Caenorhabditis elegans: one gene and its partner. The protein of the gene in region 2 interacts with the protein of the main gene of each other region in a pairwise test. Each region holds a gene or a part of one and is shown on either strand. Other genes may lie near its edges.

What was found. Proteins that work in one complex are often made in the same cells at the same time.
Region 1: the proteins of C50F4.1 (region 2) and C16A11.5 interact in a two-hybrid assay, tested with the Caenorhabditis elegans proteins (one large-scale study listed by BioGRID).

Annotation. Positions count from the first base shown.
Region 1 is NC_003280.10:4,219,325-4,226,832, reverse strand, and holds C16A11.5 (FRIGIDA-like protein), read right to left. Parts: upstream 3,529-7,508; 5' UTR 3,520-3,528; coding exon of another isoform or gene 3,415-3,519; intron 3,354-3,414; coding exon of another isoform or gene 3,245-3,353; intron 3,182-3,244; coding exon of another isoform or gene 3,114-3,181; 5' UTR 3,100-3,113; intron 3,030-3,099; coding exon of another isoform or gene 2,925-3,029; intron 2,867-2,924; coding exon of another isoform or gene 2,702-2,866; intron 2,655-2,701; coding exon of another isoform or gene 2,395-2,654; intron 2,209-2,394; 5' UTR 2,181-2,208; coding exon 1,935-2,180; intron 1,877-1,934; coding exon 1,553-1,876; intron 1,507-1,552; coding exon 1,154-1,506; intron 1,104-1,153; coding exon 999-1,103; intron 944-998; coding exon 869-943; intron 818-868; coding exon 580-817; 3' UTR 501-579; downstream 1-500. Other genes in the region: F31D5.1 (UNC93-like protein MFSD11), read right to left, coding at 5,064-5,152, 5,198-5,339, 5,392-5,527, 5,574-5,847, 5,969-6,058, 6,101-6,221, 6,270-6,442, 6,778-6,847 and 1 more.
Region 2 is NC_003283.11:9,523,437-9,532,161, forward strand, and holds C50F4.1 (CHK kinase-like domain-containing protein), read left to right. Parts: upstream 1-3,356; 5' UTR 3,357-3,408; coding exon 3,409-3,510; intron 3,511-4,373; coding exon 4,374-4,994; intron 4,995-5,083; coding exon 5,084-5,173; intron 5,174-5,242; coding exon 5,243-5,352; intron 5,353-5,533; coding exon 5,534-5,699; 3' UTR 5,700-5,814; downstream 5,815-8,725. Other genes in the region: C50F4.9 (Cocaine- and amphetamine-regulated transcript protein), read right to left, coding at 1-25, 80-229, 682-763; C50F4.10 (non-specific serine/threonine protein kinase), read right to left, coding at 6,614-6,703, 6,760-7,089, 7,208-7,426, 7,649-7,783, 7,840-7,974, 8,020-8,064; pfk-1.2 (ATP-dependent 6-phosphofructokinase 2), read left to right, coding at 8,395-8,464, 8,509-8,725.

The DNA of each region.
Region 1 (7,508 bases), on a different chromosome or scaffold from region 2:
TTCGAAACATGGTTACCGTATCTTCAAAGGCGCACGGCCCACTTGGTGATTTGGGTCCCGCCGCGAAAAGAAAACATTTAAATTTAAACACTTAGTTTTTGTAATTAAGGCAAAATTTGAGCAATTGAGAAGTTGATAAACGAATGGATTAGTGAAAACGGATTTTTCAATTCCAAATGGCCGAAAATAAATAATTTTAAAAGTTTTTCTTCTCATGTAAGCGCAGAAATGAACGAAATTGAAAAAAAAACTAGCTTTTTCGGCGGAATTTCTATGAATTGGACAAAAAAATAAACATATTGCTAGAAAATTTTTCGGCGATTTTCTTGGTAGTGATTTTAAAAAATCCAGCAATAAAACGACAATACGATTTTTGGGAACATAAAATCGAATTTCGAAAAGTGGAATACCGTATCACGTTTAAAGGCGCACGACTCATTGGTGAAAATTTTCAAGTTTAGAGCTGTATCTTTGCATATAAAAAAAGCCAGTAAGAAATAAATAAAACAAAAATATTTATCAACGATAATCATTCAACAACAACAAAAACAGAAAACAAATCAAAATAATTTCAAAGAATTACGAAAAATTGGCCAATTTATCGAGAAGTTGCTGAATTATTCTTTCATTGGCATCATGTTCAGCTTTCAAACGAATTTTCTCTTCTTTAGCCTCTTCGATTTGTTTCGTCACATCGAGCATTTCCTCCTCGCCACCAGCTGGTTCAGCTTGAACTGAAGTTTCTTCGGATCTCGCCGTCAGCATTTCTTGATACTTCTGACGTTCCTGCTCAAGCTCTTCAGTATACTGCTGCAATCTGGAAAGAAAAAAAAACGTTAAATTTGAATTTACGGGTGAGAAACCGCACATAGTAAGACCTTCTCTCATACTCGACAGGTTAGCTTCCAGATTGGATTGTGTGAGATTATAGTTTCTTTCTTGTCTGAAATTATAGAATTTTAGATAAAATTAAGGGGTTTTTTCTGGGTAAAACCAACTTCAAATTCTCTTCTTTCAGTCCCTCCACGTGTTTCTCCAATTTCGAATGCTTCTGCTTCAAGTCGGCAATCTCCATCAAAACATCATGGACTTTGAGGGAATCGCTGAAAAATTTAAATGATCAAAATTTAAAAAAACCAATAAAAGTAATTACTTTCTCAATATGTTCAGTTCTTCCTGTTTTCCACGCAGATCATCCTCCATCTCTTTGACTTCCTGCTCATTCTGCACATTCTCGACATCCAGCTTCTTCTCCAGCTCTGACACTTTCTTTCTCATCTTGTTTTCCTTGTTCTGACTAGTTTTTAACTCTTTTTTGACGTCTTCAATTGTTTGGAGAGTTTGAGAGCATTTTTTGCAGTCGATTGGAGACTTAGTCGAGCTGCTTTCATCCAAATCCCAAGCTTCTTGGTTCTCACTTTTCTCCACTTTTTCCTTGATACACAGATCACAATGTAGACCGACAAGACGGTGACATGCCTTTTGATTATGGAGAAACTGCTTCAGCTGAAAATTTGAATGTTATAGTCGGAAAATGGCTTCGAAAAATTACAAATGGTGATCTATTGAAGATACACAGCAGTTGGCAGTGCTCGATGGCATCGAAGAGATCACAAGTTCTCAAGAGCATCTCCTTCTTGACCCTCATCACTTCATTGTACGCGATTTCCGCATAATCGGTGATGTCTGGGAACGTTTCCGTGAGTCCCAAGTATGTCAGCTCGTTTTTCAAATTTTGAAGAGTAAATCCATGATCAGCCTTTGCGTTTCTGACTTCTTTCACTGGATTTGCAGGAAAGTGAAAGCTCGAAAGTGAAACTTCGAACGACGCCAGTAATCTATGAAGATGGGCAGTTTTTATGAAATGTGGGAATCTCTGTAAATAAAAAAAAATGATTGCCATTAAATTCTGTGTAGCAATAATATGAACATACAAGCTCAGACTTGAAGAGCAGAGTCGGAATCTTCAAAACATATTCAATAATTTTGGGAACTTTATGCTTTTCGAAAACTCTCGAACCCCAAATAATCTCATTGAAAAGCTCGAAAAGCGCATCCACGGCTAGAATACAGTAGCTTCCAGGCTTCAAGTCTTCAATCGGTACAGCTTTGTGCTTGGCTCTTTGGATCGGATGTTGAATGAACTCAATGGATTTCACTTGATCTCCATATTTCTCCATAACCTCCTCCAGCGCAATCGCATCTTTTCTAGCATTTTCATCATTAAATTTAACTAATTTTTGGTTGATAACGTCTCATTAGGTATTTGGCGACAGAGACATAAATTTAAATATTTTCAATTTACGGTTTTGCCGCCAAAAACCTAACGAGACCCATGGTTCGCGGGCGGAGCGCATTTTCACGTCGATTTCAAACATTATTATCAGTTCTCACCGGAGAGAACAATTCTGGATACTCCTCAAAAACTTTTTGAAAAATCTCCAGCCATTTTTCGAATTTGTAGAGCTCCAGAGGTAAAATTCGAAATTCAGGGTCAGTTGATCCGTAAAGATAAACCACAAAATTGCGAAGAATCATGTACTGATAATCACTTCATTTCACTGGAATCAAGCTCTTGAACGATTGGAAGATGGTCTCCATTTGAGTTCCTTTGTTCCAGCGACTGGATAAGTTCTCCATTTCCTGAAAAATTGCTATGGGAAAATCTCAAAACTTGTCAATTTTTGAGTCTAAAACATACCCTATCAACGAAACATGCTCCTTGATTGAATTTCTCGAATTTTTTCTCGATTTTTCGAAACGAATCCGCATCAAAACGCACAAATTCCAAATATTTTCGACTCGTCTCCTCTCGTGCTTTCAGATACATCACTTCGAGAAATCTGTTGAGTTCTATAATATTATTCTGAAAAACGAAGAAATTAACTATTTTGATTTGATTTCATCCTAATATAAAATGTTACCGTGGAATCTTTTCGGTAACCACAAATGTTCTGAATAATGATGAAAACGTCCGTCTTGTAGATATACTGATTATTGTCAAGACTTTTATAAATTATCGGGGATCTCTGAAAATAACTCAAATAAATCATGAATCAAAAAGTCAAATCTGTTATAAAAAATGGCTCTGTAGGATACAATTTGAAGTTTACATGACTTGTCGGAAAGTTTCTGTGGATTCTCACATTCTCGGCGAGTTCTTTTCCAGATCCATATAATCCTGTAATTTATTTTATTTGATATTTAATAATAATATAAATTTGAAAATTCCCTAGCTACCCACTGAGTCTAGGATGTGTGATATCGATGAGTGCCTGGAAGAATTCAGTTCCGCCATTTTCCAATGTTTTAGGACTACTGTTGATATCTTTGGCGTCAATATGTCCTCGAAGCTGGAAAAATGTGGTTTTTATTTTGGAAAATTAGATTTTTTTTTTTCGAAATTATAACTACCTTCAAAGGCACATAATCAGCTGCTGCATCCATCAGTCGACTGGCAGTGAGATCTGGCTCCGGGAGTTCTTTAATACCCGTTATCAGCTCATTTAGGGAGCACATCTTCTGAAAATCAATTTAAATTGAGATGTTTGACAGTTCACTTGGCGATTTGGGTCCCGCCACGAAGAGAAAAATTTGAATTTTAATAACTATTTTTTCGCATTTGAGGCAAAAATCGAGCAATTTAAGAGTTGAAAAACGAAAGAAAAATTAAAAACTGATTTTTCTCAATGAGCCGAAATTAAATAAATTAATACGTTTTTTTCCGATGTAAGCGCTGAAATAAACGATTTATCCAATTTTTAACGCAAATTAACTAGTCTTAAGTTGCCGATTAAATGTATTACAGGCTTTTTCGTATGCTGGCGCAAAATGAGAAAAGCTTCATTTTTCGACGAAATGTTGATAAATCGGGCGAAAAAATAAATATTTTGGCTCAAAATGTTAGAAAATATTTCGCCAATTTTTTTAATAGTGATTTCAAAAAATAATATCCAGAAATAAAACGAAAAAACAAGATTTTTGGGAACATAAATTCAAATTTCGATTTTTGAAATTCAAAACATGGAATCACCGTACCTCATTTAAAGGTTCACCGCTCACTTGTTGATTTGGGTTCTGCCGCGAAAATCTTAATTTTGGGTTTAAATGCTTTTAAGCTCGAAATTATCAGTTTTAAAGTTAATATTTCGTCAATTTTCGGCAAATAATTTGTTTCAAATTGCCAGATCCGTTAAAAATTGATCATTTAGACTTTATTTTCAAAAAAAAAAAAAAAAGTACCGTAGCTTATTTAAAGGCGCATAATCGTGGTTAATTACTGGGTCCCGCAACAACTCTCAGGGTTGCAAGCATAGTTTTGTCAGTTCACTCATTTACTCGAGAAATACTAAAAAATTTAATTATTAAATTGAAATGTGAAAAAAATTTAATTTCAACCGATTGAGATTGGCGACCAACGTTGCTTGAAATCGAAAAAAAACCACGACAGGGGCTTCTACAAAAATTTATTCCAGTAAAAATTGCAGTGTTATCAATAGAAATAATACAAAAAATTTGATTCTTGTTTTTCAATTGATAAGATCCTTGAAATGCCGTAAAAATCCAGTTTTCATCTTTCCATTTTTTGCTTCGAAAAACTTTCTCAGATAACATAGAGAATAAAAAAGTTGGAAGTTTATTTGTCGATTATTCCACGAGTTTCTGAATTGAAAGCTCTTTCCATACCAGACAATAGTATCTCCGAACGGATTTCTCGACGGTTCCTCGGGGATTTTCAGAATCTCATTCAGATACCAGCAATCTACAATTTGTTCCCCAACAGGACATGCTGTTGAATTAAAAACGTCCGGAATTTCCAGAGGAATAGGGTCAGATGCTTCATCACAGTAGTATAATTTGAATGTGACACTACCATTTCTCTGCTGACTCTTTTCAGTCAGTCGAATAAACTTTGCAGTTTACGGGCTTCAAATCATTTTCAAATCAGAAAGCCCACTGCCTATAAGAGACGCACGAGAATTACCGTATTTTTCTTTTTGTTCATTCATTTATTTAAAATTAACAAAATTCTAATTTTTAAATTAAAACTTGAAAACAAAAAATTAAACTCCAACCAATGGAAGAGGCGAGACCGATTGTTGTGATTTGCGGCCAACATCGTTTGAAATCGAAAGAACCACGACAGGGGCTTCTGAAAAATTTATTTCTTCTGTTTTTTAAACATTTCAAGTAATACTTTGCTGATACATATTCTTAACTGATCTATGAAACTGTAGAATAGCCAATCCCCCGAGAAGAGCTGAAATAGTCAGCAAAATCATATGATGCACCAGGTAGAAGTACTGAGCAGCGAAGAATATTCCCGTAGAAGCGATTCCCTAGGATTGGGATCTCATTAGAGCAAACATGAAAATTTGGAAAAAAACTTACACTTGAAAATCTGAAAATCGAAAACACACTACTACTGTCTCTCTGATAATATTTGGCGATATACGAGTAAATCTGGGTCTGCAAAATTGCGTCACCGAAACCCAAAAGTGCAGAAATTGCCATAGCCAAGTAGACACTGAAAGCTTAACAGGTTGCAAGTGAGCTCCAATGAGAAACAAAACCTCAACGGAAACACTGGGCCATTTCCATCAGTATGATGAAGTGGAGCATCATTTGGGAATGATAAAGAGATCATCAGAAATAGGATAACATGCAAAATAAGGGCGCCAAGAATTAGAACATGTTGCCCAAATTTTCGAATTTTATTTCCAATTATTGCCACAAAAATCGATCCGATAACCTGACCGCAGCCGGTGACAATCATTCCGATTGTTAGGATTCTGGTGGTATTGGAGGCAAGGTTCGATGTGAATTTAATGCAGAATGGGTAGATCGCTGGAAATTTAAATTTGCGCGTAAAATATGGTGTATTGGGGTTAGATGATTCCCCATTTTTATAGTGAAATAGGCACGTAGGCACGTAGGACTTTGATACAGCAAAAATTTTCAAACTTACAAATCCAGAAAGACCTGACCAATCCTGTGTAGAAGAAGAACACTGCCAGGGAGATCATTCTTTGGGTTTTCAAGAGTTTGAAGCAGTTTTCTGAACATTTAAAATTATTTTCAAATGTTTAACTTGGCTCACTAGTTGTTTGAAAAAATGGCTGAGAAACTCGATTCCGAGACATTTCACTCTGTGGCAAGAAGCACGTATTTATGATGGAGATCACAATACAGGCCAGGAAAACCATGAAGAATTTTTCCATCTGAAATAATTTCAGAAAATTTTCAAAAAAAAATCTGCTTAAGCTCACCTGCCCATTTTTAGCAATTGCTTCAATTGGCTCATTTTGAAAATAGAAAAAGAAGAAAATTCCACCGATTATCAGGCTCATTTTGTAGAGGGCCCACTGGATGGAGGTGTTCTTCTCTCGATTCTCATCAGACACATTTTCAATGATGTATTGTCCCTGGCCGACCCAGATAACTGAAAAGTACATGTGGTGCCTGACTTACGTTTTGATCTACAAAAAATGTGGGGGTTTTTTTGCTCAAAATAATGTGACGTCAGCGCGTTCTTAACCATGAGAAATCAGCTGAGAACTCTGCGTCTCTTTTCCCGCATTTTTCGTAGATTTACGTAGATCAAGCCGAAAGTAGACACTCTGACACCACGTGAAAATAGAGATGTTGCAAATGCGCTCTATTGCCAAATTCAAGGAACAAGAATTTGAGCTCGAAAGTCTACTTCTCAAATAGCTCCAAAAGTGGATATTCGTAGGTTAGGCAAAAATAGTGAAAAAAAGAAAATGTAAGACTTACATGTTGCTCCGAATCCACCAATACTTGAAGCTATTAATATGAAATATCGATTTGGAAGAAAATACGAGCTCTGAAAATTTTTAAAAATACTACTGGCTGGAATAATTTTTAATTTTTAATACCCTGTTTTTTTCATTTTCATAACTTTTAAAACATTATTCTCTGAAGCTCTACTAAAATTTGCAGAAAGTGACACGCAATAATTGACATCATAAACTCAAATTCATCTGGGGTACTAAAAATGAATGCGAGTTGATTTGCGTCAATTCTACAAGGCAATTGGGTAATTTTCATATTCGTTGGAGAAAACTGATCAAAAATTTGGCGAACTTCCTGATGGTACTACCTGACCGAAAACCATCTTAAGAATGCGCCTACGCCTGCAAAAACCTGCTTACATGGACAATAATAATCGTCATCATACCAGCAACCATCGCCCATTTCCCCGAGAGCTTGGACACCACATATGGAGCAAAAAAGCAGCTAATTGTGTTGAAAAAGTAGATCAAACAAAGTGCCAGATACCCATCGCGATGTTCAATTCCACCACGTCCAGCTGTTGCCAACGCGGCGATCAGCGGTTCCATAATAAATTCATGGGCTAGGACAGCTGAGAACAGGATCACAATGGAGATGGAGAGCCGGAGCACATTTGTGGTCTCAGTGGAGATCTTCATTTTGATTTCAAGCACCTGATATTGAAATGTTTTATAAAATGGAAAAGTTAAACG
Region 2 (8,725 bases):
CTGCATGGCTCATTCTCCTCGCATGCTGAAAACTTCCAATTTTAGCTTTTTGCTTGAAGTATTAAAATTGAATACTTACTGTGTACTCCAATGATTTCATAGGCGCTTCTCTTTTTGTGCACATTAGTTTGAATGAGTGGCTTGAAAAGTGGATCATTTCTGAGCAGATGCTTCAGATTACAGGCCGTACTTTCTTCAATTTGATCGGTCAGAATAGCAACGATTGAACCTGAAATGAATTTTCCCATTTTCTGTAAGAAAGACATTCAAGAATCACTTCATTTGTTTTAGGTAGGGCTGTCAAAACCAAATCTTCGGTTTTCCGAGTGTTATTTTTGGAGTTTTAGTTTTCTTCCGCTCTCCAAATTTTCCGGTTTCGATGCCCAGTTGTTCAAGAAAAAAAATTTGAGAAAAAACAGGCTTCGGATCTTCCAGAATCGGGTGAAAAAAGACGTCATGGTTAGTCTATTTGTCAGTCGTAGGCACTACCAAAGCGCCAAAACTGTTTTCGGATATGTTTTTAAAAAGTTCACCAATTTAGTTTGTTTTTCAATTTCAAATCTTTCAGGGTTGGAATATGGTATTCAGTGACGTTCAATTTTCAACAAAAAAAACCGAAAAATAAAAACAACCCAATGGGAATGCATTCGTTTAAGTTTCATGATTCTTTGAAGTACTTACACTCGATCTCATTAATTCTTGAATCTTCGATAAAAAGCGATGAAGATATTGTGATAAGAATGCACAACACGAGAAGTTTCATCTGTAAAGTAAATGATTTTAAACCAATAGCGAAATTATATACAAAGGCTGAAAGAATAAAAATTATGGCTGAAGGTGCAAAAATGTAAGGTCATAATTCAATGTCAATAAGGAACTGAGGGGAGCTGACATTTCTTAAAAAGAACAAAAAGGAAATTAATCTTTGTTGGTGATTCTTGAGAAGAATATCCAAATATCTCCACCCACGCTGAGATATAAGGATATATGTACGGAGACAAAGATTAAAAAACTTTTAAGACTTCGAGAGTAATGGGCGGAACATAGAGGAACGTATAAAAACTAAAACTATAGTTGAACGTATACTGAAGATGAACACATTTTCGATTAAAGTACAATTATACGTAGTCTTTATTTTAGTTTATATAGAACTTATGTAGTATCTGTACTTCAAAAAAATGTTGGTTTAGTATATTTTTAGTTATAACCTAAGATTTATTTATTTGTTCGGATAATACATCAGTTCAATTACAACCAATATAATTGAAAAAAGAATTATTGATTGTTTTGTAACTACCAAATGATAATTATTCTAAAAACAGGATAGTAATTTTGTAGTAATTTTTCAAATAGTAATTTTGATAAAGAAATAATTAGACTGCAATAATTTTATCAAATAAAACATTAACTGTATTCTGCTGCTCACGGTTTTTGCAACAGGAAACAATGCTTAGAGGAGCAAGGAATTTGAAGAATGACCAATTGATGCCTTCTCAAAGAATATAAGCTGTTTAGGTTTAAACACCCAAAGTATTCAAAGAGAGTGTCATGCAAATTTGTAAAGGTGAAAGCATTTCAAACGTCATGATGTTACCAAACAAGGAGGTGGTTGTTCGTGATGCACAAAAATTGTTTTGACTTGTTGAGTGGGAGGAGAAGGAAATGGGTTGACGTATTGAGTCAGTTGAGTGTCATGAAGCATTTTTAAAATGCTAGAAAGGGAGTGGCTAAAATCAAACAATCGGATGGGTCAAATGATGCGTGACTTTTTGATTAACAGGCTGGAAATTCTACCGAGTTAAGCACTTTTTCATGATAAGTCTGAAATCATTCACATTTCAAAGTCGCACTTCTTAAAGTTCCTAAAAATACTAGATATATTTTTAGATGGCAACTTTTTTTCTGAAATATTCAGAATAAAAAATATTCAATGCGGCATCAAAAATAGTTTTAAAGGAAGATTACTTAGTATCAATTTATGAGTGATTTAATACTATAAAACAAACAGAAACTCTTATTTACCACTTACAAAAGGGAAGAGATTATGAACTGATATTGATAAAACAAGAGTTGCCTCGATTTGGAAAAAAACAACTTTTTTTCAGTTTCTTAACAAAACAATACGAAAAAGAAATTCAGATGAAGTTTTTGTTCATAAGATTTTTTTTTAAGACAGCGTTATATCGAATCAATATTTTTGGTTTTCTAAAAAAAATAATTTTAATTGGATCGAAAGTTAAATTATTGTTTTGTATTTTTATTGTTCTGCACAACGCAACAAAAAGAGAAACAACATTTAATGGAAAATAAAATGCATCAAAAAGTAATGCTCTCAATTATGGCTCATTTTGAAGGCGTTCGTCAACTCAACCGGAGCAAGGATGAAATGGGCTATTGAAAGAACATTAAAGTACGCACGAAAACAAAACGTTAATTCGAAAATAGGTATTTATGAAAATGATTTTTTTCAATTCTATACGGATGAAAACAATAATTTAAATGTGTCCTGAGGTTATTGTTTTCAAATTTCCTTAAAATTAATTTTGGAATTATTTTTAGAGTTTAGGAAATCACATGTAAAATGGAAAGGCCTCAATTCTGAACTTTTGAACTTTTTTGCGCGGGGTAAAAAATTAGCGCGGATTTACCCAACGAAAAATTTCAAGGATTTTCCAAATTATAAGCTTACAAACCGTTACACAAACAACATTACGATTCAAAATAATTATTCCAGTATAAATTGAATATAAACCTAGCTCAAAATTCGCCAAATTATTACTGATTTGATAATAATATTAGCCAGTAAGATTGAAACCAGAAACAAATATGAAAGAAGATTTCAAACTCGATTACATGAAGCAAGCCTAGAGAGAAAATATCGCAATTTTTCTGAAAACTTAATGTGATACATGTAGTGCCAACTTGGCAGATGTCCTATATGTCTTCGAACGTGAACTTTAAATTTTAAATTCGTCTTCATTTCAGCCACCCACTAGTTTGATATCCGATATCCTACGTCCAGAATTGTGCCGCCCACTTCATAATTTTCGGATAAATATCAGTTTCAAATGGTTACCACATTAGCAAAGTACCTACCACCTATGATCTTCGTTCAAAATTTCAGCTCGTGACTCACTCCCTCTTCTTTTTCATTGCTATAAAATGTGTTTGCAAATGTTATTTGCTCTACGAAACACAAAATATGCAAGTATTGTCGTCGCCCATCATCAAAGTCATAAACGGGACAGTGTCATTAGTTTCGATTCTCTTCGCTTTTTTCTCCCGCATTTTTTATCACTGATAACAAGACCTCGTCCACCTGCTCCCTCTCCTCCCTTTTTTCTTTGCATTTTCAGAAGAAGGACATATCAGTGTTGGCATTGTTGGTTGATTCACAGAGAAGTTATTATGTTCATCACTGCATTAATTGCAAAGGAACTTGGATTGTCTCGAGTTAAAGAACTTAATCCTACTGTCACTATCAATGGTGTCACAACCGTGGAGTTAGAGGTAACTTTATAAATTAGTTCATAGTTGAAAACTCATATATTAAACCAATAGGAACTATTTGAGGGCATTGCAAAAATCTCAAAAACTTTTAACTCAAAATTTAAATGTACTACAGATATCAAGTACTATAAAATTATTGTAACTCCTATTACTGTTAGTTTTTTTAATGGCTCAAATTTTAAAAGGATTTTGCAAATTTTTTAAATATTGCAAATATGATGCCAAAATCGTATACGTTACATTGTCGACTCTCTTAATCTGACTATTATTTTCAACGATTAGAAAAAACCGTCAACGCTAGATTAAGATATTTTTAGACAATTTTTAATGTTTAATTTCAAAAATTTTCGAAAATGTTGCTTGTGAAATTATCTTTGAACTTCACTTTTAAAGGTGCTAGTACGAATTACTTTCCAATGTTTTGTCTTCGTACAAAGCTTTCATGTTTTTTAATTCCATATTACCTCTTTAAAATTAATACTTCATGTTTGTGTTTTTGGATGGAGTGTATTATATTGGGAGTTAAATGAGCACAAAGATTATTCCGGTTATAAGGAAATTTCGTTCAAGTCGTTTCATTTTCTAATGACGTTTTTTGTGGAAATTTTTAACTGCCTGTTTTACTGATAAGAAAACGGAAATATTGTTAAATAAACAAGTTTTTCAAAATTGAACTCAATACGGTTGAAACAAAAAAAAATAATTAAAATATTGGAAGTATAGTATTAGGATTAGATTTAAACTTTCTACGAAATTGTTCCAAATTCGAAAGAAATGTGCCAAAATGTGATACTGAATGACCTTTGAATGAGGCCAATTTCTTTCTCCCGCCCTTCTAGAATATCATCGTTTTCTGGTTTTAGACAGCGGAGGGCCTCTTCCGAGTGCATTTGGTGAGAGATGATCAAGATGTTATAGTGAAACTAGAGGAAGGAAGCAAGCTTGCCGCCTACTACAATTCACTTTTCTGGCATGAGATATCAACGTTTGAGAAGATTCCTATTCCAAGTGCACATTTTAATCGATCGTTTGTTGTGACGGAAGATGAAAACAAACATTCTGTCTATGTTACTCAATTTTTGAAGAAAGGAAGTGTTCGTACCAAATTGGGATTACCAGAATTGGAACAAGTTGCCTCACAGATTGCAAAGTTACACGCTGTCAACTCAAAAACTATCAATAAACAATTCTCACTCAATGTGCAAGAAAATTATGGAAACATCATATCATTCAAAAAGAAAATTCAAAAAGAATTGATTGAAGTGTTGGAAACAGCAGTAACTACTACAGAAGTTGCAGACTACTTCATGAATCCATCCTCAGTTATTGAAAAAGTTGGAATTTTGACTCATTACTTGGAAGATTGGAAAGATGAAGATGCAGATGAAAAGGAAAAACATAATGTTATCGCACATGGAAGATTGACAGCTGAGATTTGCAGATTTGATGAGGATGGGAATTTGGTAGAGATCACAGAATGGGAAGTACGTAATTATTTTTAAAATAGAAAAAACTGCGTTCTACTATAATTTTTACTTTTGATCTTTCAACAACGAAAACCTAATTAATTTAGAACATTCATCTTGGAAATCCAGTGGAGGATTTAGCAAATTTGATTGTTTCATCTGCAGATGTCGACATTCGACGAAAAAAGTTCATGAAAGTGGGTTCGAGAGTCTTATGGGAACGGCAGAGCACCAGATGTTTTTGATGTAATTTGTTTTAATTTTAGATATTTCAAGTCTATTTTTATGCACTTGTTGACTATTACCCACCAAAGTATCAACTGCATGATTTGAAAAGATGGTTCCAGGAATATCAACCTACAGTTCTAATCAATGGGTGAGTTTAGGTTTCAAATTTTCAAATGTTTTAAAAGACCAAAAAGTTGTCGTACTTTTGATATTTTTTATAAAATAGTGTTTTACCGGATTTTCAAGAAAATAATTTTTCAAGGCATTTTAGGTTGCCCCAAATTTTCAGAACACTAGTCCCATTAAATAAAATTTCTAATCATTTCCAGAATCGAGTCTCTACTTTTTACACTGAGTGAAGGTTCGGATGACGTCAAACAAGATGCTGCACGTCGATGGGAGACAGCGTTGAATGATACTGTAGATTTCTTGACTGGAAACTACATTTCGGATAATGAGCACCCATTTCTCTCACAAAAAGAGAATGATGATTGAAGAATAAGATAACGTATTTGCTTTTTTTTTCAAAGAATCGAGAATAAATGACCGAATTCAAAAATAAAGATTGGTCGTTTTTTCTTGGTGACGAATGAATAAATCTTCAATACAAGAACGGAAAGATGCATCTCTTGACAACGTAGATATACGGACGACAAAATAATAAATGTATGACGTGTGAGAAAACACTTGAAGCTTGCTTAAAAAAGGGATTGGGTGTCTTCGAGAAAATCAGAACATTTCTTTCAAATTAAATTATGTAAGAAGATGTTCATATTACAATATATAAATAGCAATATACTATTTATAAATTATATTGTAAATAGATATTAATTACTTAATTTATTTATTTACGCTCGCGAAGAGACGTGGAAAAAGTTGAAGAAAAAAGAAAAATGTACACATAATAGATCATAAATACAATACACTGAATAAGAGGGATAGAAACAAGAAGAATAAATAGGAACGAAAGTTTGTTAACAGGACAGTTAGGTCAGGCGGGAGGAGATAATGTTATGTGGGTAGTTCATGAATCATCAGTTGTCAGACATCTCGTTATTCAAGATCTGATATATGTTTTAGAAACTTGGGGCTACTCAGCGTACGGTTTACAATAAAATGCTTATTGTAAATAATATTGTAAATAATTATATTGAAAATATGTTGAAAATAGAACAAAAAATGCAGCATCCGAAAGTTTCAGATGAAGAGTTTCAGCACTTGGTACATCTATAGCAGATTTTGAAGAGATGTTTGTATCCAAACATCTTTTGGCAGTTGATCAAGAAATTAATGATAGAAAAATATCACACCATAAATTCGCACATTTCTTTGAAAATAAAATCTTTTCAGAGTATTTGAATGTATAGTAATTGTCACAATCTTTATTCGAGAATATCGAGAGGATGTAGTTACACGTCTCCAAGTGAATTAGTTCCTCCCTGTTCCCAATCATAAGGATGTTCCGGTTGAGGACTTCTGCGCATTGCCCGACGGAGAATCTAAAATATTAGGATTTTACAGAAACAATGCTTAACAATTGTAAATAAAACCATACGTTGCAGATATTAACATAATCGGGAGCTGTGAAATAATTGTAGGAATCAATGAGAATCATCACTTCACGAAGTTCTTCCATCGGACAAGGTGCTCTCAAGAAAAGAGCGATTGCTGATGGGTGACGACTTTGTTGCTTGACTCGTGCAACTGCAGCACCATCTGGAAGACCTTTCCATGGAAGTTGTCCAGTGATCATTTCAACGATAACGTAGAAAGCTGATTCTAAATCATCTTTTCTATTCAGTTCTTGCAGTTGATGACAATTCAATGAAGCATATCGAACGGTTCCACGGAATTCAACATTGTCACGAGGTTTTCTCATTTGATTCTGAAAAAGTTATGATTCTTCAGAGTTCAAATGATTTTTGCTTTTCACTTGTCTCAAAAAGCCGAAAAATGGTGTTAATATTTCTTCTGTGAATACACTTGAGAAAAGTAATCTTTACTTTGGAGTCCAAGTAACGTCGTGAAATTCCAAAACTCAAAAGATACAACTTTCCAAGTTCGTTACGATCTTTCCGTCCAAAACAGATATTTGAAGGTTTCAGGTCTCGATGAATGAAGCCACAATTGTGAAGATCTTCGAGTGCTTCGATGAGTTGAATTCCGACGCTCAGGGCACAATTGACTGAGATTGCTCCAGACATGGAGGTTTTCATGTAGTCCTGAAAATTATTGGGACTTTTGCAAAATAGTTTTTTCAGTAATTATTGAGTCATAAAAAGAGCAAGTGTCTCCCAACTATAAAACTATGTCAAGAAAAACGAACAAGTTGATATCAGGATTACAATAGAATTTATGATGATTTTGAAACTATATTGATTGGTTTCTGCTTTTGTTTTCTTGTTTTCTGCATTGTTTTCTGCAAAACCTGTTAAAAAACTAACAACTAGTGCTCTGCCAATCATGTGCATGACAATATAATGTATTCCTTGAAACTTCCCAATATCCTCGATGTCACAGAAATGACGAGATCCTCGCTTAGCAATTGTCTGCAAGACAAATGCCTCAACCTTCAACATCTGAAATATATGATCCACAATTAACACAAGTAAAATTTTCAATTTTGATGTTTCACCTGCAAAGGGCTCTGTGCACTTTCACATTTCAAAGCAAACTGTTTGTAATTAGACATGTTGCTGGATCCATTACACATGTAAATAAAATTGAAATCTCCTTGTGCAATTTTCTTCTCGATTGTCCACTTGTACACCTTTAATTGGATTGAAATAGAGTCTACGTCTATGATCAAAAATACCTGAGTGCCGGGAAACAAGTTGGTAACGTCAAGCGTTTTATCCATAGTTTTGTGCTGCTCGCTTCTTGGTAGAAAATTTTAATTCGAAATGACTAGATAGTGATTGATAATCGTGATAGTGTGAGTAAGGTTGTTTTTGACCATTAACAGCAAAAATAGAACACGTTAAAAATATAATTTTTAATTTTTCAAACAAATCTTATATTGTTTGAATGAAAATATAAATTTACGTGTAATTTTAAATAGAGTAGTTGAACTTTTCACGTTTCCGAGATCACGTAGTTTTTTGCCACGTTTCTTATCTGATTGTAGATTGTTAGAAACGAAAATATTTATTTCACAATCATCATCATAAATAACGTTGAAAATCAATCAATGGAGCAGAAGTTTAAAAAAGGAAAGGACCATGGAGTTGGAGTGCTGACTAGTGGCGGCGATTCACAAGGTAATTGGAGCACGATTTTTCATTTTTAAACCTGTGTTTCACAGGAATGAATGCAGCAGTACGATCAGTTGTCAGAGAAACGATTCGTCAAGGACATAGGTGCTACTTGATTCGTGAAGGATATAATGGACTGATTAATGGCAACATCGAACTTGCAAAATGGGCCCACGTCGCAAATGTGACACATCTTGGTGGAAGCATGATTGGAACGTCTCGATGTGATGAATTTCGCACTACTGACGGACGCAAAAAGGCTGCAGC